3 linked regions of the Lonchura striata genome follow. The protein of the gene in region 2 interacts with the protein of the main gene of each other region in a biochemical or structural test. Links are inferred from orthologs where the notes say so. Each region holds a gene or a part of one and is shown on either strand. Other genes may lie near its edges.

What was found.
Region 1: of the proteins of TLK1 (region 2) and ASF1A, one has a biochemical effect on the other in vitro, tested with the Homo sapiens proteins (3 studies listed by BioGRID). The link is inferred for Lonchura striata from reciprocal best matches to the Homo sapiens genes TLK1 and ASF1A.
Region 3: the proteins of TLK1 (region 2) and MBP form a complex in vitro, tested with the Homo sapiens proteins (2 studies listed by BioGRID, with this or other methods). The link is inferred for Lonchura striata from reciprocal best matches to the Homo sapiens genes TLK1 and MBP.

The regions. Positions count from the first base shown.
Region 1 is NC_134605.1:65,190,876-65,201,686, forward strand, and holds the start of ASF1A (histone chaperone ASF1A), read right to left. Parts: upstream 4,907-10,811; 5' UTR 4,589-4,906; coding exon 4,480-4,588; intron 1,242-4,479; coding exon 1,126-1,241; intron 1-1,125. Other genes in the region: DNA helicase MCM9, read left to right, coding at 7,882-8,056, 10,274-10,476. UniProt on the Homo sapiens protein: Histone chaperone that facilitates histone deposition and histone exchange and removal during nucleosome assembly and disassembly.
Region 2 is NC_134610.1:20,254,993-20,265,581, forward strand, and holds the start of TLK1 (serine/threonine-protein kinase tousled-like 1), read right to left. Parts: upstream 4,019-10,589; 5' UTR 3,938-4,018; coding exon 3,790-3,937; intron 3,358-3,789; exon of another isoform or gene 3,316-3,357; intron 1-3,315. UniProt on the Homo sapiens protein: Rapidly and transiently inhibited by phosphorylation following the generation of DNA double-stranded breaks during S-phase. This is cell cycle checkpoint and ATM-pathway dependent and appears to regulate processes involved in chromatin assembly.
Region 3 is NC_134603.1:59,595,957-59,606,497, reverse strand, and holds the start of MBP (myelin basic protein), read left to right. Parts: upstream 1-6,039; 5' UTR 6,040-6,062; coding exon 6,063-6,113; intron 6,114-10,541. UniProt on the Homo sapiens protein: The classic group of MBP isoforms (isoform 4-isoform 14) are with PLP the most abundant protein components of the myelin membrane in the CNS. They have a role in both its formation and stabilization.

The sequences.
Region 1 (10,811 bases), on a different chromosome or scaffold from region 2:
ATGTTGATATTATTTCAAACCAGTTACAGTAACCATGACAAATAAGGGAATCAGCTTCATCAGAACTTTGGGGTTCTTTAATGCTCTTACTTCAGCATGCCTTTGTCATTAGTTAAGTGAATTTATAGCATTTGGGAAAATAGCAGAATTCTTATATAATAAAACATACTCAGTTTCTATCTGATTTTTTTTATCCAATGGATTTTGCTGCCCGTTTACAAAAATAAATGCTAGAAAATGTTTTAAATAAAAATTATAGTTTTGAATAAAAAACAAACAAACAAACAAAAACACCCCACCACCACAAAAGAAGTTATCCCAAACAAGAAAGCTTCTGTTAGAATTCGGGCAAGTCCACTTCAGGTTTCCCCCCTGCTTCTTACTGAGTTAAACAGAAACTAGTCTAGGCCAGTAAGTCATCTTAGTGTTGCTCTTTCCCCATTTTCTTTTCCTTTGTTATTCCTTATTAACTTTTGGCTTTAACAGCAGTATTTTACAGGACTGTCACATGTTCCAGACTTTTTTGCACAGTCTTAATCTACACACTAGTGTCCTAAATACCTCCCATTTACCACCAAATTTCTATCTTTATTTTATTTTATTTTAGAAATCACTGTACTTTGTTATGATTTAGCATGCTTAGCCAAACATCACAGTTGACCATGGTTCTGCCAAACAGAAACAAGCTTCTTGATTATTCTGTCTGAGACAAACTAATTTTACAATTAGTTTGTTGCTCTGATCCTCTGAAGGCATTGTCTACATTAACCTAGTGCTCCTGATTGTCTGAAACTGCCACCTCCAGCAGAAGAGGTGAGCCTTATAGTGCTGGTGTAAACCAGGCAACTGGCACTGCTGATTATGAACCAGACTGGTTAAAATTATCAGTAGCTATGGGAACTGTGCTTTTATCAGCTATTATTGATACCACAAATAAAAAATATAACCAAGAAGTATAAGGGGCAAGAAGTACAAGCTCAAGAACAGAGTTTAAAGGAAGGCATATCACAACTGAGGAGCTCACTGCAATTTTTTTTACCAATATTTTTCAAGTGCCTCTTAGTTTGATACAGTTATCCCTAAATAAATTAGCACAACTTTTAGAAAGAGCTAAATCAAACTTACCTGAAATACAAACATGTGTCTTCCTGCAGGAACAGGTCCAACTAAAACAGAGTCTAACACCTGATCATACTCTTCACTTTCAGCTGAACCCACATAAATTATTTTCCATTCCAAATCTACATAAAAAAGAAAAAAAACCAAACATTATTTATCATTACAGTTAGGGGGCCTTCCACTCTCACCCATCTACAGCTTTGCATAGCTAGAACTACTTCTTTGGCAACAAGCCTAAAATAACAAGGACCTGTCTTCATCAGAAAAATTTAGTGATGCATGACCCTGTCCTCATGAACCAGATCATCCCACTTTTTCTAGTCAGTTGTATCACAGGAATCCCTTTATTCTAACACTAAGGTTAATTTTCCTAATTTATACAGAGAACAGGGCCTTTTTACTGATTGGGTGCTGTGTTGAGCATCTTCTCAAAGTCTGTCAGAATGGCAGCAGCAGAGGGATAATGCCTATAAATCATCACATCCTTGAATACTGACTCCCAAAACCAAAATTCCCACCCTCCACACACACACCTCACAGCTTAAATAAATTACATAGATAATGGAAAGTAGTTAATTGAGTAAGAAACCCACTGGGTAAGCTCCAGACACACTAACTCTATGCTCCCAATCCTTCATATGTCACTTGTGTTACGTGGGAACTACATAAAATTTGATAGCATGACATTAATTTTTTCTAACTCGGCCTCTTCCCCACAGATGTTTTAAAGTTGAAACTGCAAATTAGCCCAAATTGGCTCTTCCTGGGTCAGCTTTTCACCTTCCCTTTTTGATTCAAAAACCAGTTATTATTTCACACATACAAAACTAATCTTGGAAGACAGATTTTGGGGTTATTAAAACAAGAGGAAAAAAATGACCACCATGACAAAAAACTGTAACACTTCTTAATTACTGTATCTTAAAAACTTACACGGTGTTTTTCTTTTTTTCCCCCTTGTGAACAATGCCTTGATTGCCTTTGCAAAAGCACAAACCTGTGAGCTATTACATTAATTCGATTAGCACACTCGGCAAAATCCAAAGGTCTGCCTCATGGTTTCTGGATGCAGGAATGGAATTTAAGCATAGAAAAAAAAAATTAGCACTTGGAACAGAATTTGCCTGCTTTAAGTTCGCAACTCTCTTTTCTCATTAGTGAATTCTTCTTGCTTATCTTATTTACTATTAGTGCAGGTTTAACTATCATAATAAACAGAGCAGCTTGGGAAGGGATTTTACTCCTCTGTACAACATATTTTCCCAGGTACTTTATCAGTTTTATATACCTTTTAAGCATGAAGCTGTTGCTAGTATTGCAGGGTACTCATCCAATATAATTAAGGAACTTTCTTTTCTGCATCTGACAACAAATTACTACTTAGAAGAAGTGAGGACTTCTAGGCTAAACTGCTTAAGACTAGCCCACAATCCTGTGCCATTATTCTCGAACAGTGTGAAACTTCCTCTAAACAACTCATAGTATTTAGTACTAAAACTAGACCTTTTAAAATAAAGTTTAAATGTTATTTAAGTATGTTGACACAGAACAACAACTTTGAGAAAGAGAGGGCTGGAGTTAATGGATTTAATTTTAGGATCAGTGTTGCAGAGGAAAACAGCAGAGTAAACAGACGTATTAGCATAGGAAAGTTAAGGCAATGACTTTTCAGCAAGTAAACAATGTCTGTGTTTAATCTTATTTTTAAATGTGGAAGATAGCAGCGCTCATCCCTAATTTATCCTAGTGTCTAACTTCCATGTTGGTGGGGGAAAAGAACTGAGAATTTCGCATTGGACCACCTATAATTCTTCTTATCACAACTGTCCAAATTAACTTAATCCTGAGTGTGAGGAGCACATCACATACAGGAAAAGCCTAACATATTGCAGAGCCCCTGTGACGGGCACTGCCACTGCGGCTGCCACGGAGGGGCTCCGATGCTGCACCTCTGATGGGGCAGGCCGATCGGAGATAGCCAGGCAGCAACGTGGCGGGGCACGGAGCACAGCTGAGTTGCACGAAGGCAGGAGACAGGCTGCGGAGGCCCGGAGGAAACCCTGGCTCAGGCGAGACTTCCTCCGAAGTTCCCGCCACGGCGGCGTCCCTCCTTTCCCGCGCTGTCACCGTCCCGCCGGCACGCGCGAGTACGCGCTGCTGCAGAGGCAGGCGGGGAGAGGCGAGTTAAACCGCAGCGACAGCGAGCCTGCCAGGGCACCTTAGCCAGGACAGCAACTCCCCTCTCCTCAGCCGTGCCCTCGCCCCTCCGCCCGCGGGGCTCTCCGGCGAGCAGGCGGCGCCGGGCTCCGCCGAGCGCCGGCCGGGCAGCGTCCTCTCCGGCTCGCAGGCAGCCCGGCCGGGCGGCCTCCTCCTGCTCTGGGGCGGCGGCGCCCCGCATTGCCTCCCTCGCCCCGAGCCGTTCGAAACTCCCGCCCGCGGGGCGACGCGCGGCCTCTCGGGCGCGTCCCGCGGCCGCCCGGGGGGCGGCGCTGCGGAGCGCGGCCGGGGCGAGGGCGGCTCGCGGCCCGCCCGGCTCGGGGGAAGGCGGGAGCGCGACGGCGGCCGCGGCTCCGGACGGGGGTCCCCGTGAGGCTGCAAGGTCGGGGCCGGCCCCCACCCGCTGGCGGCTGCCGGCAACTTTCGAGTGACTTCCAAAAATAGTGGCAGGCGGGCGGCCCCCTCCTCCCCGGCGGGGGCTCCCGCAGCCAGCGCTCCCCTCCGAGCCGTACCCCCGACCCCGCGCACCTACGCGGTCCGCGGCTGCCTGCTGCTGGCATGCGGGGCCAGCCAGTCAGCCCGCCCCTACCTTCCACCGTGATTTAATTTTTTTTTTTTTTTTTTTTTTTTTTTTTTTTTTTTTTTGGTATTAAAATGGAGCACGAGGCCATCGAAACGCATCCCCCGGAGCGTTTTCCGCGTTTCGAGTACCGCCGGGGCTAAACAGGCAGCATCCCGTGTGCCCGCGGGGATGCGCGGCCGCCGAGCCCGGTTCAACCCTCCTGTCTCCCGCTCGCTCCCCCCACGCACACACAAAGCTGGCAACATGGCTACCTCCACTCTAACAAGTTCCTCGCAACTTGAGGCAGCTCGCCGCCTCGCCGATGGCGGGGAGAGGCGGCGGGCCCGGCTCGGCGCCCAGGGCGGGCGGACACCGCCAACTTTCCCCGGCGCCGGGCTCGGCGGGAGCGGCACATCCCCTCGCCCGGCCGGCACGTCCCCCCGGTTCGGCACGGCGATGCGGCGGAGCTGGAGAGACTGATAAATTGTAGGCGCAGGCCTGTGCAAAGTTTAAGCCTTAAATGCCCCGAGCTCAGAGCCCGGGGTTGCAAAATCCGTATCGGGGAGAAAAATTCTACTCACCTTCAGACAGGTCCTCTATGCACTCGAATGTGATTTCGAACTGGAAAGGATTGTAGAAAGGAGAAGGATTATCCAACACCACTACATTGTTCACCTGAACCTTTGCCATATTTTGGAAAAAAACACAAACAATAGGCAGAGCGTCTTAACGCCGCGCACTAAAGTCCTCCGTGCCGGGCTCCCGCACCGCACAAGCCCCCGCGCCGCTGCCCGAGCGAGGCTGCAGGGCGGCGACTTCCACAAACTTTTTTTTTTTTTTCGCCTCCCCCTTTTATTTACACCGGGAACGCTCCACACTGTTCGCCGCTTTCCCTATTTCGCTCAACTACAGCCCATTCTGCTCCTGCTCGCCGCCAGCGCCCGCCCGGATTGGCCGCTCGCCGGGCGAGGGCCCTCCCTCCGCGGGCACGGCGGGCACCGAGCGCCGGCCAGAGCGGCCTCCGCGCGCGCCCGCCCCGCGCCGCCCCCGCCGCAGCGCCCCCGCCCGGCGCGCGCCGGCAACGGCCGCCGGCAACCGCCAACGGGCCGGGGCGGGGCGGGGCGGGGCGGGAGATGAGCCGGGTGCGGCTGAGGGAGGCGCGGAACGTCTGCTGCTCTGTTTCCCGGAAAAGGACTGAGCTTATCTCTTTTCTTCTTCTACTTCTGCTTTTTTTTTTTTTTTTTTCTGTTTTTTTTTTTTTCTCTTTTCTTCTGTGTGCTTTAAAATCCAGGCAAGGGGAAAATCAGGAGGAACGATCTTACCACACAACTTGTCAGATCTCCACTCACGACCAAAAGGGACTCTACCTTATTTCAAAAGCTGTTGCCTTGTAATGATTTTATTTAAAAGAGAAAATTAAGTCCTAAGATGCGACTTCATTTCAATTGCTGGCATATAGCTCAAGGGACTGTGTTTACCCTGCCTACCACAATGACTTTTATTAAAATTGATAAGGTTTAGATTCATCTATAGAAAATGCATCTTGTGTAAGTGTATTATATTTAAAGTTGTGAACCATATGAGCTGAAGAAGAAATTAATTTCATTTCAGAATGTTCCATCTTCTGCAAGTTGTAAACAATGTAAGACCACATCCAGCTTGGAAAGTGCCCTAAGCTGGAAATTGAGGCTGGAAGAATAGTAGGGCAAAATAGCATACTAAATTAGAACCATGGGTAGAACAGTGACAAAAATATAACCTTTTGTCCATTCACTTTAGGCAAAAAGTTGAAGAATCACTATATCTCAGTAAGACAAAAAACTGCTTGCAACTACAGCTCATTTTAAAGTTTTATTTAACCTTATTTATAAAAGGGAAGATTCAGAAGTTTTTTAAATAATCCTAATTTTTTTTTTATATGCTAAGATTGTGCAGTATTGTATAAACAGCAACTGCAACACTGGCTGCTTGGGAAGAGGGAAAAACTACTCTCAGTCCAGCATTCATGATGAAATTGTTCCCAACACCTCCCAGAACAAGCACTTTTCCTGTCAGAATGCACAAAATGAGTCTAATCAAGTAGGAACGTGCATTAAGCTTTCACCATCCCCTAAGAAGAATGAAAGCAGTGATTCACTTACAGCCTAAACCATCTTGCCTGTGGTGCTCCACCGTGTGTGGAGGGACGCTCTCAGTTTGGGATCATTTCAGCACTTTGGGTTTTTGTTGTGCTTTGTTTGGTGGGTTTTTATCTTCCTGCTTCTGTGCTGGTTGTGCTGGGTGCTGGTGGGCTCTCGGGTGCCAGGAGCACCCCCAGCTCAGGGCAGTGGGGCCGGGCAGTGGTGCCAGGCTCGTGAGCCTGCAGCCCACGGCAGTGGCCTTTGGCCAATGGCCCGGGATGTCCGTACCGGGATACAGCTCCTTGCTGGCTGGGGAGCCCTGGGCACAGTGGGCTTTGCTGGCGGGGTGCTGGGTGCCCCGGGCAGGATGGGCTGTCTGCACGGCCCCGAGTGCTGCTGCTGAACCAAGCGTGCCTGTCACACGGCCGTGCTGTCAGGAAGCCATCCCCTTCCTCTGCTGGCAGAAGGCTGGGGTACCCTGAAGCACTACGAGACAGGACATTTTGCCCGGGCAGCAGCACTGCCAGCGAGAGGCCCTGTGTGCAGCTGGAGAAGACATCTTGTGTGGTGGCAGGAGCCTGCAGCAGAGGCCATCCCATGGCTGCCATGCACAGGGCACAGCGCCGAGCAGAGTGATGCAGCACTGCAGTGCCAGTGACGTCCCTCACGGCCCCGGGGAGAGCAGAAAGTGCCCGTGGCTCCAGGGGTGCAAGGTGTGTACCCCCAGCACAGAATATTCAGAAATAAATAGAGCAGCAGAATATTCAGAAATAAATAGAGCAGCCAGGCTCTAGTACTGCCTAGTACTCTGTGTTTCTGTATTCTGCCGTGTGATTGATTGCCCACGTTGTTCGGCACACAGTCCAGGAAAACCAAGAAAGATTGGACATGGTGGAGCAGAATTCTTACTACAAGTTGAAGTACATATTATTTTATCAGGAAGCATTTAATTCCAGTAACTTTTTGCTGGTCATTTGCAAACAAATAAGTACTATGGTGGGCTGCACAGTGATGAGAAGGTCTTGATGATGAGCCAAATGGTGAGGCAGGGGGGATTCTTGTGCAGTTTTTGCCGTAGAATTGCAGGAGATTTTAGGCTGGTTGCAGCTTGTCAACTACTAGGATATTTTGAGCTGAGCACTGGAATGGAAAAGAAGGGCTAAAGATAGAGAAGAAGCAGGGAAATAGGGAATAGAAAGATTGGAGGGAGCTGCACATACTAGCTAATGAGTGGACATTTCCACAGTAATGTGGGGGTTTTGTCTGGCTATCCACCAAGTGTTGTATCATGTGTATATTTACTGGAAAACTTTTTATTTCTTCCCTCATTTCATTCTTGGCCATCTTTGGATTTTCATTTTTGCCTAATGCTTAGAGGAAACCAAAAACTCATAAAGAAATTTTAATTTTATTAGTTTATTTTTTTTTCCAAGCTTTGATTTGAAGCTCCAAAATTTCTGTCCATTTTAATAGTTGATGTGGAGGAAGACCTGAATGGGTGCATTCCATAATTTTACAATTATTGCCTTTGCCTCAAATTTCAGTATGATCTACCAGATCTAGTATTCATACCCTAATCTTTTTTGTTCATTTAACAAAGTTCTAAAACAAGTCACAATCCAAACATGGGAAGCGTAACAGAATCCGCTCCACAGCTCCAAGCTAACCTACCTCAGCACTAGTGGGATTTACAGCTGGTAGCTGTAAAGTGAGTTAAGTTATGTGGTAGAAGTACATGATAGACCTTTCCTGCTGGTTTATCCTCTGTCTATGGCTCAAGCCACTGTGCTGGGTCCCTTTCTTTCACTCAAGTTTACTCTTGCATTTTAAGGAAGAGACTGACTGAAGTATTTGATTCTTCAGGTTTGACAGTGACTGCTGTGAAGGAATTTGGGGAGTGGAATTTGGAAGCTGGAGCACTGGTGCTTGCAGATGGAGGCCTCTGTTGCATAGACGAGTTCAATAGTATCAAAGAACATGACAGAACCAGTATCCACGAGGCAATGGAGCAACAAACCATCAGTGTTGCAAAGGCAGGGTAAGTGGCATATTAGCACATGTAAGAAACCAACACGAGATTTTTTTCTCTTGTACTTATTTGTTGGAGGGATGCTGATTAAATATATTTGTTTTCTTCATTGTATGCAATAGTTTTGTTGTCAACAATATTCCTAAACTAGACAAGTAAGCATTTCATAGGACAGTGCACTAGACCAGAGGCTACAAGCAATCAGACTAAATACATACCCTCTTCGCTGCTGGGTTTTCAATCTACTGCTACAGGATGGGGCACTTTTCTGCAAAGACTTGGCATTCTTTTTCTTGCCTTTTGCTACAAGTGGTTGTAATAATCTTATGTGAAATGAGAAGCTTTGTGACTTTTTTTGTTGCAACTCAGAAAGTGGGGCTTCATTTTTCCAAAACCACAAAATCACAGAGTCATTAAGTTTGGAAAAGATTTCAAAGATCATCAAGTCCAGCCTATGCCTGATCACCACCTTATCAACTGAACCATGGCACTAAGTACCATGTCCAGTCAATTCTTGAACATCTTCAGGGATGGTGACTCCACTACCTCCCTGGGCAGCCACTTTTTCAGTGAATAAATTCTTCCTGATGTTCAGCCTGAACCTTTCCTGGCACAGCTTGAGGCTATGTCCTCTTGTCCAGTAAAATCCAGTAACCTTGGTAACCAAAGCACATCAGGAGATTTCAAGGCTGCTGTATTTTCCAAGAGATTTGCAGGCTGCTGAATTTTATATGTTGGGTGTGGCATAAATATAAACTTCTGTTTACTTTAAGTCCTTCCCTTTCTTTTTTCAAAGTAGTGTGTGTTCAAATCTGCTATTCCCCATACTACCCCTTCCCACCACTTAGATCTTTGAGCTCATATTTCAATTTATCAGTTATATGCAGTTCTTATTCAGGCCCAAATTATTTTCTGGCTGGTATTTCTGACATCTCTGCTACTCAAAAGGCATCACCCTTTCCACATTCCTTCTTACCACCTTCCACTCAGCTCTTGCTCTAGTTGCATCTTGGCTTATCTACCTGACCATGTCCTTCCCTTATTCTGAGCATCTCCATCCTCTTCATCAGACAGCAGACAAATAATCACAGAAGATTCTGAGTTGAAAGGAACCCACAAGGATCATCAAATCTAATTCTTAAGTGAAGGCCTGTGTGGGGATTAAACCGATGACTTAGGTGTTTTTAGCATCATGCTCTTACCAACTGAGCTAAACTCAGGGTCATGTTGTTCTCACCTGGGTAATTACCAGCCTTTGCCAACTGGGCACAAATACGTGGATCAATATGGTCCCGTCTCCTTAGTAAGACAGGGACATATTTCAGCTTAGTTCCTTGATGCAGTTGATTGGATTTGATAGACCCAAACAGTTTGCTAACTTGCACATAGATGCTCAGTTGTTTAAGGACTACACATAATAAGGATTTTTTCAATAGCAACTTAGCACACATAAGTTAAGCACCTTGTTAATTTAGGTCTTATTTTGGTGCATGGGAGAATAAATTTTTTTCCTAGGCTAGTGGAAGATCTGTGGTCCTTCCTCTCAGTTACAGGAGAACTTTGGACATGAGGCAGCAGTTACTCAGGAGCTGACTAGAAATAGCTCAGTGACAAACCAAAATTAGAATGCTTCTGCTGCTGCCTTACCCAAAAGGAGTACATTTGGACTCCTAGAGTAAAAATAATCTCTCCTTATATCCACAAGCACATGCTAGGAAGAGTGGAAAATGGCTGTTTCAGTTGGTATGGTTGCCATCACTGTTAACTTGGGTTCATATTCTTTTTTATACACAGGAATAAAACTTACATTCATGTCACATTTTATTTTCCTCTCTTAGAAGATGAGTTAAGCTAAAGTGTTGCTTTCCAGCATTCAGAAGTGTTTGCATATTGTACAGTCCTGCAATGTAATATTTATTTCTGAAAAGTAGTGTCGGTTTTCACTATTTAAGGATCTAGCTATGTACAGAGATTATTTGTGGCGATGTTGGTTGGTGCCTTTTGGTATCCAGATCAGTGTCTGTCTAGTTGCTGTTCTCTGACTGGAAAATGATGTACATATAATAAATATTAATACAATAATTGTGTACGTTATTTAGCTCTCATGATCTTTCAAGATAAGATGTGGTTTTTATAGGATAAAACCACAGAAGTTTTTAAGCACTTTGAAATCCTTTTCCCTATCTAATTTAATTCAACCACAATGTTCACCATACCTTTCTCTAGCTTGGTGTGCAAGCTTAGCACGAGGACAACCATCCTAGCAGCAACAAACCCTAAAGGCCATTATGATCCCAATGAATCTGTCTCTGTCAACATAGCTCTTGGCAGTCCCCTGTTGAGCAGATTTGACCTGGTCTTAGTATTGTTAGATACAAAGAATGAGGAATGGGACCATATAATTTCATCCTTCATCTTGCAAAATAAAGGTAAGAGTAGTCTTTTTAAATCATAAGGTGTTTTGTTGGGTTGGGGATTTTTTGGGTTGGTGGTTTTTTTGTTTTTCTTTTTGGTTTGGTTTGGCTTTTTTTTGTTGGTTCATTTCTAGTTTTGTTGCTTGTTTGTTTGGGGTTTTTTTGCTGTTTTTAAAAATTATTTTATTTTATTTTCCACCATTTTTTAGTTTGCTATTCTTGAATCTTTCGAATTAATCAGTGTCTACATTTTTGTCCTGGTGGTTTTCTCTTTAAGTAAGAGTAACACAGATTACTAATTAATTAAAAGGTGCGAGCTGAGAACCCTCTACTTTTACTCTGGGATCATT
Region 2 (10,589 bases):
ACACATAAAAAATAACTTACAAAGCATTATGCTTAACTACCAGACACTGCAGCACCACCCACCCAGTGAGCCAACCATGTCCTAAAGCAGCATGTCTATAATGTGAAGGGAAGGGATTCTGCCCCTCTACTCCACTCTACTGAGACCCCACCTGGAGAGCAATGAAGGACACAGACCTGCTGGAAGAACCCAGACAAAGGCCACAAAGATGATCAGAGGGCTGGAGCATCTCTGCTATGGAGACAGGCTAAGAGAGTCGGTGGTGCTCAGCCTGGAGAAGGCTCCAGGAAGACCATACAGGACCTTCCAGTACCTAAAAGGGGCCTATAAGAAAGTTGGACAGAGACTTTTTACAAGAGCATGAAGGGACAGGATAAGGGACAACAACTTTAAATAGATACAGAGTAGATTTAGATTAGTTATTAGAAATAAATTATTTACTTTGGGGGTGGTGAGGCTCTGGAACAGGCTGACCCTCCAGTAGCTGTGGAGATGAGTGTGCCACATGCCTGGAAGTGTTCGAGGCCAAGCTGAATGGGGCTTTGAGCTACCTGGTCTAGAAGGAGGTGTCCTTGCCCATAGCAGGGAGCTGGAACTAGATGATCTTTACAGTCCCTTCCAATGCAAGACAACCTATGGAATCTCTTCTGACTCTGCCTTGTCAGCATTGGCCTGAACATTCTCCATTTACAAAACAGCACTCTGCAGGTATGTGCTTTAATATTTTTAGTTACAGACACAAAGCAGACAAAAGTAAAGAAACTTCAAACAGGAAATGGCTTGACTGCAATTATGTGAGCGATGGCAGAAGATTCAGTCACACAACCACACATACAGTATGCAAAATAATACTGCATAACAGTCCTCCTAAATTCCTGATAACATCTACTGCAGGGCTCTTAAGTGACCACATATACCACACGTAAGTTATGGGAATATAAAACAACTGACAGAACGACAGACATTTACAAGCTACACTAAAATGCAAACAAGAGATAGTTCTTATACAGTAAAAGTGTACAGCTGCAACTGTATTCAAGTCCATCCCAGTCTTTTCATTTCAAAACCTCAAAACAAAAAATCAAATCAATACAGCAAAGCCATGAGGCCACTCTAGATCAAGATATAGAAGATAGCATCCAATGGAAAATGTTGCTGCAACGTTGCAGCACATTTTAAAAGATTAAAATATTTTTAAATTATTATTTCCTCTAATTTCACCCATACTTCCCAAGTAGTCTCTTGATATTGACAAGATATTGCCAGTTTTTTAAAATGTGTTTGTGCAATTGTCATATATGCTAGAGCTTTTATTTTTTGCTTTTTTCCTATTAAGAGATTCCGAAAATACTTTTAGAACTTCCTAAATCAACGTGCAGATGGTTTCTGCTCTTAATAAACCAGAATCTTCAAATGCCCATGTGAGACATGTGAGCTGATACCAGACCTTCATAGTTGAGGTCAGATCAACCACAGCACACTTGGTACACTCCATGAAGGTCTGCACTTCCAAAGGCAACAGGGACATAACTCTCACAGGAGACAACCAAAGGGATTTAACCCAAAACAAGAAGGCCAAGCTGGGAAAGAAGCTCTGCACAAGTGCCAAATGCGCTGTATGGTAAATATTACCCACTCAAAACTGGCACCAGCAGCAATGCAGCTGGGATCCAGTGCAGGCTGGCAGCCTTGTGCACTGCTCCAAAACTCACAAGCCCCAGGTATCACAAGTTTAGAATTGATGACAGCCCAGGCTCCCATAAACACACTGTACTGCAAATACTCCTTGCTTATTAGTTTGATCTGGCATCAGTCTTTCACATATATAAGCCAATGCCTATGAACATACTAATATATTTATATTTCAGGGCCTACTGATTTCTGGCAAGCTACTTCTTTGTAAACCATATATAAAGTAAGATGCCTTGATAACATCTCACAAACATGAATGCAAAACATGAACCCAAGCACGGCAGCTTATGCTTATTTTCAAAGAGAGCTACCTAGTGAGGACACACAATTTAAACACAACCAAGGAACACTATAAAAATACAACACATTATAGTACCAAACAAACACCAAGGTATTGATTACTTTTAACCCATAATCTGTATTAGAGGATGCAAATTACAGTACCTGGAAAAATCCAACAGCCTGAGTTGTAAGAAAGAAAAATGTAAAGAGCATATAAAAATGAGCTTCACAAAAAATATTTTTCTTGTCTCAACAGAGCTACTCATGGACCACCATTTTTTGTTAAAATAAATAGATAGATAATTTATATTGCAATAATAATTTCAAATTTAAATGGCAGGTATTTGAAATACATCCAAAAATATCCTACATATACATATTATCTGTATGCATATTCCTAACAAGAGCTGCAACAGTGAAAATACCTGCTCTCAATAAACTTAAAACTATGAATTTGGCTGCTGATGGTTTTTCTAACAGCTTTGGTTTCCCAGAGAAGACGAGCACAAAATGCCTGCCACTTTACTCAGCATCTTTAACATATACCATAATTCCTTCCCAGGTATTTTCTAGAGCATTTCATGTCAATCTACCTGCAGGAGCGTGTGCAAAAGTGACACAGAGTGATACAAGTCTGACAACTACTGGTGTGGAAAATGGAGAAACCAGACTGCATTATACATTTTAAGGACGTCGAATCCCTGTTACTAAGTCCCTATATTGCTTATCAACCAAATAAAAAACCCAAGAAAACCCAAAAAGCAAGCAAGCAAGCAACCACAGGAAGACCTAAAAAACAAAGACTCTCCATCTTCGCAACTATTTCTATTTTAAGTTAGCAAGTTTCCTGCTTGGGCGATGACGTTCTGCAGAAGCTACATGGTATTCATTAATCTGGGGCAAATCAATTAAAATTATACAACTGCTCAATATGCAAGCATTTGTGCATAAAAGTTCTCCTCCGCCACTAACCGGCGTTCGGCAAGTAGTTATTTTAGCTAAAAGCGCCGAACAACTCACTAGCTGTAAAACTGCTACATCTTGTGGCAACACAACACAAGGAGGAAAAGCAGACAATACCCGAAAGGGAACAGCGAAGGGACTTGTTTGCTCATAACCTTCATACAGATATTCCCTGCAAACACCCACAACACCCTGCTGTCGCTGTCGGTGTAACACAAGAGGGGAGGAGCAGGGGAGGGAGGAGAAAAATATTATCATCGAAGGCGTGATGGAGGACAGGAGAAAGTTGCAGTCATTCCGTGGCGGCCGCAAGGCGCCCTGTCACTTCTGGCCGCAAAACCGGCCGCCCCTGAGGGCGCTTTCCCCACGGGGACGAACCTCCGGTGTCGGCCCCTCTCTTCCCACCTCCATGATGCCAAAAGTGCCCAACTCCCTCCAGCAACAGCGGCTGCATCCTCCGGCGCAGCACTTCTACTCAGCCGCTGGCGGAGGGGAGCCTATTTCGGGGAGGACGCGGCGAGCGGCCGCCCGAGGAGACGCGAGCGGCTGCGGCAGGCGGACGGCCCGGGGCCGGAGGGAGCACGGCGGGTTCCCCTGCGCGGCCCGGCGCGGGGGGTAACAACGAGGCGCCGCCGCGCCGACGAGCGGGCGGGGGCGGCGGGGCCCCGCTCGCCCAGCGACCGAGGTTCCGCTCGCCACCACCGGGCCCGGCGCTGACCCCGCGCCGCCGCCGGGGGCACCGGCCTCTCCCGCCGCCGCTTCCCAGCGGCCCGGGACCGGCCTCCGGCGGCGGCGGCCGGGCCCCTCCCCAAGGGCCGGGCCCCCCGCGCAGCCCCGCGGCGCGCTGGTTACCTTCCTTGGGCGGCTTGCCGGGCGGCGCGCCGTGCAGCTGGGAGGCCGTCGCCGCCGCGGAGCAGCCCTGCAGGCTCGGTGGGGACGTGGAGAGCCGGGACCAAGATGGCGGCCCCTCCAAACTTCCACTGCTACTTTGGACACTCATCAAGCTACTTTCCTGGAGCCCGGCAGCCGCCGGGGGCGGCGGGGAAGGCGGCGCGGCGGGGGGACACCCAGCGCCGCGCTCATGGCCGGGGGGCCGGCCCGACACCGGCGCGGGGAGGCCGCCGGCTGGGAGCGAGCTCCGGAGGCAGGCGGGGCGCGAGAGAGACGGGGCGCGGGGCCAGCGCAACCTGCCCGCACCTCTGCACTGCGTCGCCGCCGCCGAGCAGCCGCCTGTGTCTGAGGCCAACCTTCCCCGCCGCCGCCGCCGCTGCCGCCGGGGAGGGGAGGGGAGGGCGCAGGCGGGGAGGGGTCATGCGCAAACACGATCGCGAGCCGAGCGAGCGCCGCGCTCCGCCGGCGCCCAGCCGAGCCCCGCCGAGCCGGAGCCGCCCAGGGGCGGCCGGCGGGAGCGGCGTCGGCCGCGCACGCACCTGCCCCCAGCCTCACCGCGCCGCGCGGCCCGAGCTCGCCGGCTGCTCCCGCCTCCGGGCTCCGACCCGGGCCGGTTCGCAGCCGCCCGCCGGCTGACCCTTCTCCCCGTGCACGCCCGTCCCGCGGCGATACCTCCCTGCCTTGCTCAAGCGCGCACCTTCCGCGCCGCAGGCGGCCTTCTGGCCGCCGCGGCCCGGCCGGAGCTAGCTCCCCTGAGGCCGCGGCGCTCCCCTCCGTCTCGGTTTCCCCGGCGGCACGGTCCGCCCGTGCCGCCGCGCCTTCCCCCGCGCCCCGCCGCCACGGCCATGGTTGTGTCGGGGCGGGGCGGCGGGGGCGGGAGCGGCGGCGGAGACGGAGACGGTACGCGCGGTGCCGGGGCCGGGGCCGGGGCCGCGCCGCCCCGACACCTCCCCGGCGTGCGGCCGCGCGGGGCCAGCCCAGCCCGCTGCCGGAGTGCGGGCGGCAGCGGCGGCGCTGAGCCGGCGCTTCCCAGCGCGATCCAGGTGAATGTTGTTCAGGCAGCATCGCCGGGAGCTCTCGGGCGCCTGCCGCTTCTCGGCGTTCCTTTTTCCGGACAGGATGGTGTGCCAGCAGAGACTCGGCGGCACTCGGGAGAAGCTGATGTCCCGAGGGAGAAGGCTTTAGCTGCTTCGCTGAGGAGCGGGAGCTCCCATCGGATGAACTGGAAGTCGGGCAGGAGCCATTTACCAGGCCCACCACCTCACCCGCTTCAACCGCCAGGCTGGGGCTCCCAGGTGGGCACCAACAGCGACCTGGCAAATTTCAAAACGTCTCTCTTTGCCTTGAGTTTAGAGACTAAAGTGCAAACTTCGCCGAATTTTTCCGTTTCTTCTTCCTTGAAATTAACATAATAGTGACCGAGAATGTGAGATATATGGAAAATCACTTCTGAAACAAAGCCTTTTAATTTGCCAGTGCAACTGGTAAATATATTTTTTTATATTTATATATATAACAGGGATAACAATGAGTTTGATTACTTACAAAAAATCAACGGGTTGTGGATATATTGCATTTTATGCATATGAAGAATATATCCATCATTCAGGCATGGCACTTATTTTGTGGTTGCTGTGTGGAGACATCCTGTCCATCTACTAACCTACTTTCCCTTCTATTTGAGAATGACAGGAATAGATTACTAATGTTGGATTGCAGTTCTCTGCACAACACACATATTACTAATTCTGTCTCTTCCTTTTAAAGTGACATCTGTGAAATTATCTAAGATCTTCACCTCCCACAAGTATACAGCATAGCTGGAAGTTTCTTTACAGTTTGGTATTAACTAAAAGTAAAAATTAGTATGTTTGCTTGCTAAACAAGTCTGTTCCAGGGCATATATCTAGTTATATATATATATATATATATTTAAGAGAGGTGATATGGTATTTCAGCAAGGACTTGCTTTTAATAAGGACTTGATCCTAAAGACTTCTCAGACTTTACATAAGCAAATTACATCAGGAAATTTCCAATACTTGGGAATGAAGTAGAACAGTGCTAGTTCACTCTGACTGCAGTATTAATACTTAGCAGCTGGTATAGAATATTCTTGCTAGGTACATAATCCCACAATCCATGATAGCATAAGTGAACATGCACCTTGTTTCCTGATTAATATATCCTGCTGCAGCATGCTTCTTTCAAAATCTGCTAAGTAAAAAGCAGTAAGTGAAAGAAATTAAGAAATTGTCTCTTTGTTTATAGCTCTTTGCATCCACTTCATACAAACCCTTGCTATCCTTACAAAACCATGCATAAGCAAGCATTCTTTCTTCCAGTTTTGCTTACTAACTGTTGCCTACAAATCATTCTACTGACACAGTTAAGACTTCTTGTTTAAATAAAGCATTATTTGCCTTGATTAAGGTAACAGGACATCATGCAGAAGATCCCGTTCTTTATTTCCTCTATCAGACATGCAGATTAAATATTATAAAAATGCTGAAGTGTCTTTTATATTTTCAAATATTGATGCTATGAAATATAATCAGACCTTTGCCATCTCATAATGTGTTAGACAACACCTCATCGAGAGACCAGGAGTAAGTGGGCATGCACTACAGGACTTCCCAGCAGAGCACAGTACCTGCTGCAAAGTATGGGTTGAGTCTGCATTTTGTAACATAGTAGAGCTGTATCTCTTGGTTTCATGAATTGTTGATGTAGAGATTGAAAGCAGAGTGTAAATTATATAGATCATCTCCAGATGAAACAACATACATAACTTCAAGAATACATGGAGCTGGGTATATTCCTCTCTTTAGTTTACAGAAAACCTACTTTCCTACTGAGTTAGAGCTGACACTTTTTTTAAAATACCCTTTTATTTGTAAAGCCCCATTGCTTCAGTGTTATGAATTTAATACTATCATGGCAGGAGAGAAACCTTCCTCAGTACCTTTCAGAAATTTCAAATTTCAAAAGACTTCCCTTATCAAATAGCATCGTAAATGTACATAATGCTTTTCCTTGAATGCCCTGTGTTTCTTCTGCAGTAAAACTTTATGATCCAGTGGCCAGAGAAATGGCCTTTTTCTCACAGTGGTGAACAGTCAGTCAGCATCACCTGCCCAAAATATTAAATACTAAATCCAACTCAAATAGTACTAAGTATTACTAATTATTTTTTTAAAATACAATAAGTATTAAATCTTTCTCTTTGCCTTCTAGTTTTTAGGAACAGAATAGTCTGCTATCAAGGTTTATGTGACCACTGCATACCATTAACATCAGGCATAACTTGAGGTAGTAGATAGAGGGAATCAACTTTCAGTGGGATTGCTCTGGATAACAATGAATAAGGTGCCACACACCTACCTATAAGGGAAAACTTGACTCCAGGTGAAGTCCCAGGAAACTCATTTAGTTTTGCTAATTCCTAAGGAAGAAGACCTCAAAACTCAGAACAGAAAGGAGTGAAAAGTGTGTGTGCTGTTTTTCTCATAAGAATGTGTCAAATGAAAGTTAGCAATGTTTATGGCAGTAGTAAGTGTTTAATTGAGGATAGTTGAAAAACAGAAAAGCATAAGGAATTTTTCTTATTCCAAAATCCTGAAAAGCATTAAAATTGTAAGAGCTTTCAAATTTGTCACTGGAATTATCAATGCAAGAAACTTTAATCACAGTAATTTCACAATCTCTAGGAAGTAAGAGAAGTTAACTGGCAAATAGCAAAGGAAGATGCTTAAAGAAAAAAAATTAATGGTCTGAATAGTGACAATTTTTGGAGACATCTACCTTGCATCTATAAAGATTACTGTGTGCTCAGGTCAAATGTCAATTACAAAATTTCCACATACATCCTTTAGAGAACAAAGAGACATCATTTCAAACATTACACAAAATGCAGAGTTTATCCCACATGTTCTTAAGGAAGTCTATGCTATGACTGTGGGACAAGTTACAGAGATATGGCAGTTCCTTCCCCGTTCTGAGATCTTCACCTTCATTGTTCATAGGCACCAAATACATTATGGTGTCCTCATGAAAGATTTGTATCTAATAACATCAAATATTGCATATTGTTAATAACTGCATATATTTACTTCTGTTTTTCCCACTAAAGTCAGTTTGCTATTAGCTGGCTTAGGTTTCATGCAAACAGCAGATACTGCAACACCGAGGCGTAGTGACTGACCACGCCAGGTAACTGATTATATAAATAGTGGATGTTTACACAGAGGTTCCAAATAAGACCATTTTTAAATTATGTCAGTAATTAGAAGGAAGGCCTCCAATTCAAGAGATGATTGGAAGAAGTAGAGGTAGAAGAGGAAATTGATTAAGCAGGCTGGTTCTTTTAGGAAAGAAAGTGAAGTGTTACAAGAAATGACAATATCCCTGAAAAGTAGTAAACTATATGCTGAACCATAGGCTTCCAAACTTAAATCAGCCTCTGTCAGCTACAAATCAGGGAAATGGCAGGAGTCAGAATTCATTAGGGTCTTTACCTCTGATGCTTTTGGCATCTATTTTACATGTAGCTTCTTCCATCTCCTTGGATTTGGCGCAAGACTGTAGAACAACCAAGACTTAGAATCCTTTGATTTATCTCCTCAATTATTTGTAAGGCCAGTGAAATGGAGGTTTCAAATTCTTTGTTAGTTCCTTTTCAGCCTAACACTAGATAATAGACCCATAGTAGTATTTTCTTAAAGCATAAGCTTTTACAGTATGCCTCACTGTGTATTTGCCAGTATTTATGAATTTTATACATAAAAATATGTACACACATGCACTCACCTACCCTATATATAGAAAGACCTACACACATCCTATAGCTATGCCAACACCAGCAGCCAATCTCATTTAACTAGCATAGTAGAAAAATATTCTTGAACTACATGGACATACTGGTATAGTACCTTGTGTATAAAATGCTGAAATCATTTCACCATCAAAATTATGTATTTCTGACATTTCTAGGTTAGATGTAATACAATATGCTGCAAAAACATAACAGAAAAAAATGTCTTCTGTCTTGGTGAGTGCTAGAAGTTTGTCCTTCCTTCTCCTAACACAGCTGAGCACATGTATGGACCCTCCCTGGATCAGACCAACATGCTCCTGGCCAGTCTGGGTTGGGATAATGACTAGAATCTTCCAGTCTGTGTTCTGTAGGTCAGAAGATTCAGAATGCAGTTTTGACACATTCAGAATACCATCTCAGATTGGAACAGCTTCTGCACCTGTTTCTCACAAAGCATTTCTATTTATAAGCAAATAGGAATGTTGCAATTGTACTAACATTTATTTTAAAGTTTAGTTAAAGTTTTCTAAAACTGGTTTAGTGCAATAACACTTTTATAGGAAAAGGTTATTTAGAATTCAAATCAGTTCTGAGGCTCACTGACTTAGAGCTGTATTCTTAAGCCATATAGTGCACTACATGCTTTACAATTTTTTTAATATGGCACTTGCTGGCAACTCTGAGTTGCAAGGTAACAAAAACATGCATAAATAATATACTAGAAAATATATCTCCTCTACCAGCTTATCAAAATGCAGAGAAGCTAGAAGGAAAACAATATTATCACATTAGGTCTACATTTAAGAACTAGACACAAACACTGTGTAAACACAGACCTATTTTTATCATTTATGTAATTGTCATAAACTGCATTTATTATACCTTTAATATCATCACCATTAGTCAGATCCAGTGATCCACCTCTGCTATAATGATTTTTGTTCCAAATCTTCAAGAAGCCTGCAAACAACTTCCTGTCAAAACAAACACAAAAATTAAACAGAATTTGGGGGATTCTTTTTGCCATGCAAATAATGTTCCTTTTGACTCCAGCTCTAGCTACTTTGATTATTAGCTACAATCCAGTCAGAATCAAGGACAGTTTTACCATCTTCTTGTTTATGTTATTTTAATAAAAAATAATTTGGTTTTAAATGTTCCCTGGTGAAGAAATTAAAAAAAATCTGGATGGATGCTACATTCATTTTCTTTCTCCCCATCTGTCTGTTTTCATTTTATTATATTACTTTTCTTCCCATGTCCCTTGCAATCTCCTTGTCTGCTCTTCCCTGCAATTTTCTTCTACACTCCGACTATTCCTTTTACAATGCTGCTCTCAGGTAAACAGGCCCCTCTTATCTGTCAGGTTTCCTCTCCATGTTTTTTAAGCTCATGCTTTCCCACATGTCTTTCATAGTTCTGTCTCACTCTTTACACCTTATATCTTCTTGCCTGAAGTATCTGTCTTGCCCGGAGCTTATTTTGTTGCCTTTGATTTTAAGCCATTAGAGACAGACAGTGTTTGCAGAGAGCTGTGTCTGTATATGGTTTCCAGTAGTAATGGGGCATGTCTTGATGCTTTTTTCAGGCAACAGGCAACCAGTTCAGGGTTGTTGGTTTGGTTTTTTTTTTTGTAATTGTTGAATAAAGCCTTCAGATTTTGGCCACAAAATACCAACAATAAGCCTGACAGATTATTAAATATTAGATGCTAAAATAACAGTCTTATAATTACAGATTCTCTGCCTCAGTTCCCTTCCAGCTCCAGATGAGCTGATCTGCTGCATCATTCTGCAATGCCCCCTGTGCTGGGAATAGGGAAGCTGCTTTGTTCCAGCTGTTCTGACACCCACTTAGTTCAGTGTTCTACCCCTTGTTCTGTCCAAGCACACCTCCAAAAAAAGATAACAGCCCCACAGTCAGCAGATTTGGAACAACCTTTTCT
Region 3 (10,541 bases), on a different chromosome or scaffold from region 2:
AACATGTGGCTGATGCCAAATGATTGTGGTCATCGATGATTTCTGTTTGCGTAAAGGAATGTAGGCACCAGTGTGTGCTACATGACCTTAGGGGAGCATTTTTCCATTTGGGAAGTAGAAAAACCCTGCTGAGAAATTTTGTTTTTCTTAATGAACAGGGTGGGTGGTACTCTAGCAAGGCAAGTGGAGTGGGTTGAAGGAAGAAAGGAAAGAAAAGCAAGAAAAACTTGTGTTAGAGAAAATAAAGGTGACTTAGCAATTTCATTGTTATCGCACTGTTGTCTAGAATCAAATTTGGACTATGCTTGGTGTACTGAGGTGAGATTCCTGGAAATCTCATGCTTTTGGCAAAAAATAATGTGGAATATCCTTCTTGTTGGCAATAGAAGAAAATGATAATCAAAACAGTCAGGAAACATCTTAAACCTTGGGTCCTGCTTACCCTATGGCAATTTTAGGAAATAGTTTGCAACAACATTTTTTCAAAGAATATGTTCTCTCTTGCTGTTGTAGCCTTTCTTATGTGCCACAGCACCGCAGAAAATTCGAGAGAAAATCAAATAATTTTGGTGTCCTTTGCAATGAAACATGAAGTTTGTATAAATTACTGAGCAAGTGTGCTAGCACTGGGGAGTACTTTTTCAGGTAAAAGCATTTCAGAGCTTGGCTAGTCTCTCAGAGGAGTGGTTTTCTAGGCCCAGTGTCCTTGCTAAGGTACATGCAGTTATCTGTAAACACCGAAATTCCTGTAATATCTAGATAGGTCAGGACTGTGATATGCAAGACACTGTACAAGCATGATTAAATACATCTGTATGTACTCCTGTTGACTTCTCTGATTTATAGGCTATGGTCACCACTGAGATCTTGGTTTTGATAATTCATTATGGAAATGTCTGGAATAATTTTTTTTCTTTCAGAAAAATATAACTTAGAAGTCAAAGGTGAAATGAAGTTTAATTTAGGAAGTATTGTGCTCTTTCACAATAATGAAAAATTATATCTGCGTTAAATAACAATGAAACTTGTAAGGGATTTAAAACACTATAGTTTAAGAAATGATTTAACAGTTGAATTGAGAGGGTGGGATTCCTGTGGAGCAGTTTGTCCATGAGGCAGGTTACTTTAGTTACATGGTTCCTCACATCTGTCTATGCAGCATCTGACTGTGGCTGCTGATGGATTTAGCTGCAGGTCATTCATTTCTGCCTGCTGGAGGTTTTCTTTCTTGGTGAGCTGGTATATTAGGTTACCACGATGAGGGAATTCTGAAGAAACAGATGAGGCATGCCCAGTGCCTCAGTCTTGTTTTGAAAGATGATGAAGTGAAAGGCTTCCTTGCAAAGATGTGTATCACACTGAGAGCCTAAACAAACCACTCAAAGATTTCCATCTAGCTGGCAGCCACTGCTCTGCAATGTGTCAGCTTGCTTCCCAGGAAGCTATGTAGCCACGACCCAGCACTACCACAAACAAACACAAAACCAAACAGACACAAAAAAAATCCCACAAAAAACAAAACAAACCCCAACAACTAAAAAATACCACAAAACCTTGGGTAAGTTTGTAATTAAGAGTTTACATTAGGAGTCTACCAGAATGAGAGAGAACTTGCACACTTTTTAAAAGAAATTGCCCTTTTTTTGTTTTTCTGATAAGATCTGTATATAGTACTAAAGTGTCATATATACTTGTGTAAGAATAGTTATGAATTTAGCAGGAAGTTTTAAGTAAATTCCTCAAATATTTTTATATTCTTTGTCTACCCTTCCCATGTGTGAGTAAGGCTAGGAGCACTTGTAGCTCTGCACTATTACCCAACATCAGTGTATGATGAATACATATTCCTAGACAAGGTAGTAATTATGTTCTGATACCTGTAAATATGTAAGTCCTTGCATACCTTTATTATTACATGTAGTTCTGTTGAGTCATAATTAATGTGTGGGAAGAGGTAAGATCATATTTAAAAATCCATTTTCAGCATCAGGTGGTACACTTTCAGTAGTTTATGCTTTTTAATTTGAAGTAACCATTAATGTTCAATAGAAGTGCTCCATGTGGATTGGCTTACAGACTGTTTTGACTCCTCAATTACAAAATCACTTATTTAAAGTCTGATGACTACATGGGTGAACATTTTTCAGGCTCCTGTGAGTAAGAAAATGCTATTTTGCAGTTAAATCTGCATAACCTGCAGAAAGGACTGCCATTGCATTTATTTTGTATTCAGAAAGTTTGAAGGAGTGTTTTTCTGCCTTTTAGTGAAAATTCTAAATCATAAACTTCTTTATAGGACATATTGTGTATGGGAAGACTCCTATGGCTGAAAAGTAGTTTTATTGCTATGTGAAGAATTAATAGCAGTTACCTGTAACTAACTTCTGCTCAGTTCAAGCATGTGTATTCATTCATGCATGAAAAAGATAAAGTAAAATCTGGTTGTGAGTGTTTTATGGATACAGGGTGGTTGTTCCTGGAGCATTACTTGTTTAGCTGCAAATAGCCACAGGCAGACTAGAATGGACTAAAAGAACACTACAATGATATATGTTTTTAAACCCCTATCTTTAATCAACTGCTCAGTTGAAGATAAATTATGTGATGCCAACATAAGTGTATTTTTATAGATATGTGTTGTGTAGAACAGAGTTTTTTCATTTCTTTTTTTGAGTTTTGGAAATACAGGTTTTTCTCCTTGGGTAAGACACTGGCATTTCTGTAGTAGTTCCTAGTTGGAATATGGGTTCCTGCTGTGAAGAAAGTGGAAAAGCTGCTTGGTCTAGGTTTCCATTGGGTTATCTGTTAGACTAACTTTGTAAGAAGGTGAATTAATGGGAGGAGACACTTAATTTCATTTCCCCAGGCAAAATCCCTCTGCTGTTTTTGGAATTACTCAAAGCAGCTGGCATAGGTGGAGTTACTGCTGTACCAGCCATGGATTGAGAAGTGCCAGGTCATGACAGCAGAGCTGATTCAGCTCAGTACGTGGTTGTGCCATAGTGCTGAGGCAGCCGGATGGCTCTGCTGGTGGCACCCGCAGTGGTGGTTCACAACTTCCTCCCCCAGTTCACTCACTTCATCCTAAAGAGTTTTTAGGTAGCTGAAGTGTTTTCAAGCTTTTAGTCCTGCTAAATCAGTTTATTCATGTGGCCTTTAATTTTCTGAGCCGCTCAGATGGTTTTAATGTGGAACAAGTAATTCCTGATGCGGAGTTCTATAGGGGAGCTGGCAATGTAAATCTGTCCACTGCAGGCATGCAGTGTCCCCTCTCATTTGTGACTCAAGCTCATGTGCAAAATTTGTCATCTCATAGGATTTACAAAACTTGCAGGGTTTCACTAGGAAGGGTTTTGGCAAATGTTGTTGTGGTCATAGGCTTGATCTCATGTGCGGGCCTGTTTTGGCATCTTATTGTTAGTTGTGATTCATGTGAGATTCAAAGAAGGTATTTCATTTCCTCAGTACTTCTGTTTCTTCATTGCTTGGAGCACCGTGACTGTTCTTGTGGCTGTTCGTCAGTGCTGAATCATTCATAGATTCTGTGCAAAGAGTGTTGTTCAGTTGATGGACATTGTTAGGAAGTGTAAAAAGCTGTTTCTTCACTTCATACAGAGCTGCTCAGTCTGGCAACTTGTACATTATGAAGGTGACTAAAAAGAAAGTATTCATCTTTTTCCAGCTGAGATGTTTGGAATAGTTGGCTGCAAGTTCCTACAGAGATTGTAAAAGTGAGTAATCCCACTGAAGTCAGCGACTCAACTCGTTGCATAAAGATTGGCGCAGGTAGAAACTGTGCAGTGTGGTCTCCCTCCCGACAGTAAGAACTAAAGTCAGTGTTTAAGTCTTAGTGTTTCATCCTAAACTGAAATCTGTGTGCTCAGTTTTCAGTCAAGTAAGGTGGATTTCTGCTTGAGGCTGAAGTGAAAAATTAAGTCTTTGTTGGTATAAATGCTTGCAAGTATATGTATAGTTTTGCTTCCTAATCAGATAGCTACAGGGCAGTTTGCACTATACAATTTCTTTCACAGTTCATGTCAGATTCTTGGAATCCTTTCTTTGCCAAAGGATTATTTAGATTTCACTGTTTAATAGGTAGCATGAAGAAATCTGTAACACTTATGATATCCTTGCTAGTGGCTGGTTGCTTTTGTCCCTTTGGCTGAAAAGTAGTTTTATTGCTAATAAATTGAGGAATTAATAGCAGTTACCTGTAGCTAACTTCTCTTCAGTTCAAGCACCTGCATTCATTTATGCATGAAATTAAAAAATAAAGTAAAATCTGTCTGTGACTGTTTTATGGGTACAGGGTGGTTGTTTCTGGAGCATTACTCCAAAGACATGAGGGAAGCTAAGGGGAGGCAGGAGGACAGGATCACAGATCTGATCTGCAAGTGTTATGTTGGCTTCACCATCTTTGTTCTTAGACATATATGTGTTATCAACCAAATTTTATAGTAATTTTTTTTATAAATGATTGGAAGAATAACACTTAGAATATTTGCCTTTATATTGTGCTGTAGACATGTCTTACAATTTTGTATTCCACTCTGCTTTCCTTATGTTGGGAGGTAGATGATGAGGAATGAGCTGTTGCTCATAATTTGTAGAGCAAAGGACAGTTTGAGGAAGTTTAGGTCCAAAACCCAGTGTATAAGAATTTATTTTTATTTTTACTTTATTTTTACTTGATAAATTTTAGAATATCAAAAATGGGTGAATTGATTGTATTGATGTCACAGTTGGAATGTACAGGGTTTTTTTATTTTTTTTTTTAATCTTGTATGCAATAGTTAGTGCTGGTTTAAAAAAATCTATTTCCAGTTTAGCAATAAATTTTATTATGAGCGCATTTACTGAGTTTGGATGGTTTTTAATTTTGATTTTGTGAGACTTTGGAAGCGGGTTTTTGTGACAACTTATTTAATTTGATACAGTGATAACATGGAACTTAGAGAAAACTGATTTCAGTGAATTGCCAAATGAGCACTGTAGACTCTCAAAATGTGAAATTTCTCACTGGGGTTTGGGTGGGGTGGTAAAGTGTGTGCGTAAATAAATTTACCAGTCTCTCCAAAAGCTGAAGTAGAAATACAAGACTAGATTACTTATGATGGTCCATCACAGATGTGTGCTTTGTCAAAAGCAAAGTTTCTGTCTTTAGAACCCTTTTGTACACAAAGCAGTGCGTGGAGCTGGGGTTATAACAATAGATGAGTTTGTGTAGCTTATTGCTTTATTTCATGCATGTAATTTTAAGTTTCATTACTTCAAATGCTGTGATGCACTGCATTCAAATCATCTCTAGGCAGCAGCTGCAAAATCCTATACAGACATCTGCTTCTATGACAAGAAATATGTGGCGCAACCACAAGCGTGCTCTAAAAGCTGAAATTTGAGTGTTGTGGTTTAACCTACATAAGCTCTGTTATGTTGAGATAGAACAGGATGAGCCAGAAAATACGAAGAAAGAGTTGGCATTACTTTCTTATGTGTCCATCATGAAAGTGGGAGCTGTAAACAACTCACATGTTTACAGCAAATTACCTCCACAGCAAATTGTTAGCAGTTAGTGTGGTGCTTTTTTCACTAATTGCTGTTTATATAGTGGTAAATTTGAATTCAAAAGAACTTACTTGAACTTTTATGGAAGTTTATAGTTACAAATTCTTTAATATGTACTGCACTGTTTGTTATTAAAAACATAATATTGAAAGACAGGTCCTCTACCTAATTTCTAATCTAGTTTTCTTTATGTGCCCATTTCAAAAAGAATATTTTAATTTCTTCCTTCTCTTAAATGTCTTTTTTTTCTTTTTTAATATAACTAGGAAAGCTTTCTGATATTGCTTAAATGTGCAAAATAGACCAAATAAACACTTTTTTTTTTTCCATAGGACCTTTCACAGATCTTACCTTGGATTGTAAAAATTCTCATTGAATGTAAAAAATTTCTTTGTTATGTGTCAGGTTAAAAATTTATTTGTATTTCTTTACAAATGTATTGGTTTCAAAAATATTTTGTTTTTATCTTTTCAGAATTTAAAGTTTGGTGATCCATCATGGGGAACCATGTAGGAAAAAGAGATCATAGCACCGAGAAGTCAACCAAGGTGAGTGTGGAAAATGGAAAAGACAGAGCCATTTGGGAAATATGTATTCTGTGAACTACAGGGGATTTTTAGGACAGTAGCTGTTTGCCGGATAACTTACTGTTACTATTTTGTAGTTGACACTATAAAATGACCATGTTTTTGAAAGAATGTCAGGCCAAATGAAGATTTTGTTGTGCTGGATTTAGTGAGAGATGTGATGTTTGATCCGTAGCTGATAATAATCTTCTCAGTCATGGTGGAGACGAATTAAAGGGACTTGGAATCAAGATACTCTAGAGTTTTTTAAGAGTTGGTGAGCAGAGTTATGTTCTGTGTGTTTACAGTGTTTCATTTGAGCAATAAAATTGGCTTCGTCTGTAAGACACTATGAAGAAATAGGTAAAATAAGAGGATTTTAAAGGACAAGATTGTCAATCCAAATAGATACAGATTTAAAAATCTCCTTCCTAGGGAAAAAAAATACAAGATCTGTAAAAATGTTCATTAAAAATTAGTATTGGATTCCTAAGCACCTGCTGACACTGTTGTGTATTCTGCACATAATGTGGTTTTCTGTTTGCCTTGTGATAATATCTTGTTTATTTGTTTTTCTGTGTTGTACCGGAAGAGATTTCACACATCTTAAAACAGAACATCTTTCTACATATATTTAAAAGTAGAAAAAACAAAACCCACTGCTTGTTGCTAGCTATTGCTATCTTCCCTCCACACATCCTTATCCAAAAATAACAGTTTACAGTCTAAGCCCACACTCTATAAAGCTATTGCCCTTTGCATTGGACATAAAATGTAAACAGATAGTTCTGGGCTTTATCTGGAGCAGTGTGGGTATTTTGCTTTGCTGTGGCAGATTATCAGCTATCCCCAAAAGGAATACAAACCAGGACTCATACATTTATTAGTTCCTTGCCATCTCCTTTAGGAGAATGCATAGTCACACTGGAAGGGACAGGGACAAAGCATCAGGAACAATTTTGTTTTGTATTGGTGCAGTGTTTTGCAAAATGATTCTGTGGCCCAAGGTTTTGGTTTGAGTACAAACAATAGTATGAATCTCAAATTGCTGTCTTGTGGTGGCTGGTCTTGCAGACTTGCCCTTTAGAAAACTCAGTTGTGCAGAAAAGTGAAATGCACCAAACAGAAACATTTAGCCAGATATTTTGATCCTTTCTGAGTAAGCATGTGAGATCCTGCAGGTATGATACATTGAGTTTACAGAGCTTGATAGGCTGCAGTGCACCAAATACGCCTGCTTTGGTCTTTGAGGATAAAATTTGGTAAAAAAAAATTGTGTGTGTATATATATATACATATATATATATATATATACATATATATATATATATATGCATGAAAACCCACATTGTATCTTGTCTCCTGCTGTGGGATCACATGTGTTTGAGGCATCTGGATGGCAAGTGGCTGAGCTGTGCAGCACATCTGGCTTCAAAATCTAAAAATTCTTCAAATTGTAACAGCCTATGCAAGAAGTGCAAATTCTGTGGTGAGCGAGAGTCAGGTGACCATGAGTCTGCACTTGGGATGTAGGACAGAACTACAAGGAAATAGATTGTTGCAATTCTTTAAAATTCCTTCTTTCTCCCATCAGTTCATAGAGAATACTTGATTTTGCAATCAAAATAAAATTAATTTGCCAAAATTATTTTGCAAAGCAGGAACTTTCTACTGTGATAATATCTTCTGTCCTTCATTCAACCACCTAGAGGGTAAAAAACCAAAACACCAAACCCCTAAACTTTCAAGTTGTCAGTACTTGATCAAAATTTCCCTTTATGCACAGGGATGTGCATGATCTCCCTTTATCTAAAACAGTAATCTTGCCACAAGAAATTATAGGGTCATATATTTAAGGTCAGGAAATATATAGTTAAGGCACTACTATGGATTTAAATTTCATTACTTGGACTCTCCAGGCTATTTACTGTTTACCTCTCCCAAAACTGTAGGTCCAAAGGAAAAACATGATTTTAGGCAACTTCTTTGAACCTTTGAGGTCAGATTTACAGCCACTGTACTGCTCCTTGTCTGGTAGACCATTTCTCCACAGAGCTATTTTACATGAAGCGACATTAAAGAGACTGTTGCCAATTGCAGCAATCCCAGTGCTTGATTGTCCAGTAAATGTCCTTTAATCCAGCAATTACTATTAGATTGGTTTGGTGGTTTCTGGAGTTGACATCTAGCTTAACTTTACTTTTACTTAATTTGTGTATTTGTATTACAAAATTAGAAATGGACTTCTGGAAAGCAATTACTTAATGAAGTGTCTAAGCTGACACTAACATGCTTTCAAATTAGGAAATTTACAGCAGACATTAAGATGGCTTCCCATGCTCTGACACTTCCTTCAAAATATTGTTCGCCTCTTGAGATATCAATATGGCAAGCTACAGCGATTATTTAATAAATAATGAGATACTGTGAAATTAAGTGAATACTTTGAAAAATACTTGACCTAATGTGGAGGAGTATTTACAAAACCCTTTTCTTTTACTCACAGAAATAGCATACACCACCTCATTCCTTTGGAATTTCTTCCTCATATGTTTAATGGATATGCATTTTTTAGAGTTGAAATGCTGCAATGAACCCAGCATATTATCTTTTCTTTTTACTTTGAATGATACTAGACTTTGCATCTGCTTAATGTGTTAGTAAATGTTTAAGTATTTATTTTGTTTGCTTTCTTCTTAGTGTTAATATTTGAGTTTGAACTTAACATAAATATATCTAAGAACAACAATAACAAAAAGAATAGGCTGTCCTGATTTTCTTTAACTTCTCAAAGAGCTACATGTAGAAGAGTGAAAATAGACATTGGAATTTTACTGGTTCAGCGTTCTAGTTGGTGTGTGCTAATTTGTCATCATTATACTACAAAGTGGCACAATCTTTTTTTACAATGACTAAAGCTGCCTATGTTACAACAGCACAGTTCTCTGCTACTCCTCATTAAAGAATTCTGCATGGCACATTACTGCCATCCCAATATCTTTGAACTGTCTTGCTATCTGTCAAAACTGGCCCTTAATGTCATTAATTGTTCAGGAAGAGGGGTTTGGAAGGAAGGTTTCTGGCATTGTCCCACTTACTCCAGAGCAACTTCCAAATGCACTTGGTCCACATAGTCTGGTTTCCATGGTTACATAGTGCTGTGGGGAGCTGGAAATCAAGGTTGTGACCTATAGTGAAGGATCAAAACCCGCTGCCCTGCCGTGTCAAGGGATTGCTCAAGAAATTTATACAGGCCTGGGACATGTTAGATTATGGGAAATGCTGGATTATCTGCCTGGTTCATGTCCTTTATGTAGTTGGCGTGTGCTGTAAGAAAACAGCAAGGAACCAAACCAAATTGCCACTTCTGGTACCCAGCTCTGAAAAGCCGTGGAAATGTAATTGCAGGCCAAAACTGAAAACAGACATAATGATGAATAGGCATTCAGTCTGCAATTTAATGTTTTCTTTGAACTAAAAATAATCTGTTAATAATGATGAAGTCTTGCTGGGTAATCAACTTGTGAAAAATCTTGCCTTTAATTGCCCTGTGTTATGTACCTAGATTCTACAATGTGTTTTGCAGTGGTTGATTTGATGTAACTTTAATAAACTGACTGGTTCTCAGTGTTTAAGGAGAGTTCAGCATAGTTAGTTCAAGCTAAACTGCTTCAGTGAACATGTATCAGTAAATCAGATAGTTTCTATGCTGCTTTAGAGGAGATTCTATTTCCTCTCCTCTTTTTTTCCCCTGTTACCTTGTTAATGTTGTGAAATTAGGACCCTGTCTTAAGACTGTAGTGGGGTAACACTGATTGAAAATTTTCTGTCTATTCCTGGTGAAAGGGAGTTGAAATTCTTAAGATGACTGGAACACAGTGGTAGTTGAACTGTTCATCTCGTACATGCTCAGCGATTTGCAAGCATGAAGCTTTCACTACCTCTCATGGCTTAGGCTGCTTACAGGTCTGAGCTGTATGTGTGGTTTCTGCCAGGTGCTTCCTCTTGGTATGCATCATGAATTATCAAAAAAGGAAAAAAACAACAGATGAAGTACTTTTTACTTGCTTAGTTAGTTGCTCTGAAGTATTATTTTTGTAAGATAAAAGTTTATTATTTTTTAGTGCAGACAGTTTGTGACATAGAGATTGTATGGATCTATATTGTATGGATCTGCCTGTGACATAGAGATTGTATGGATTTTGAAGTCTGGGGTACACTTTTCTGTAAAAAATAAACATAAAGAAATAATCTTATTACCATACAAAATTAATCACGGAGCCTTTTCACTTTTTTCCCCCTAGCAAAGTAGTATAACACTATTTTTATTTTCCAGTGTAGCTATATGTTTTCTCAGAGTTTTACTCTTTCCTGTAAAGCAGTAAAGAGCACTGGAACTATTATGGTGCA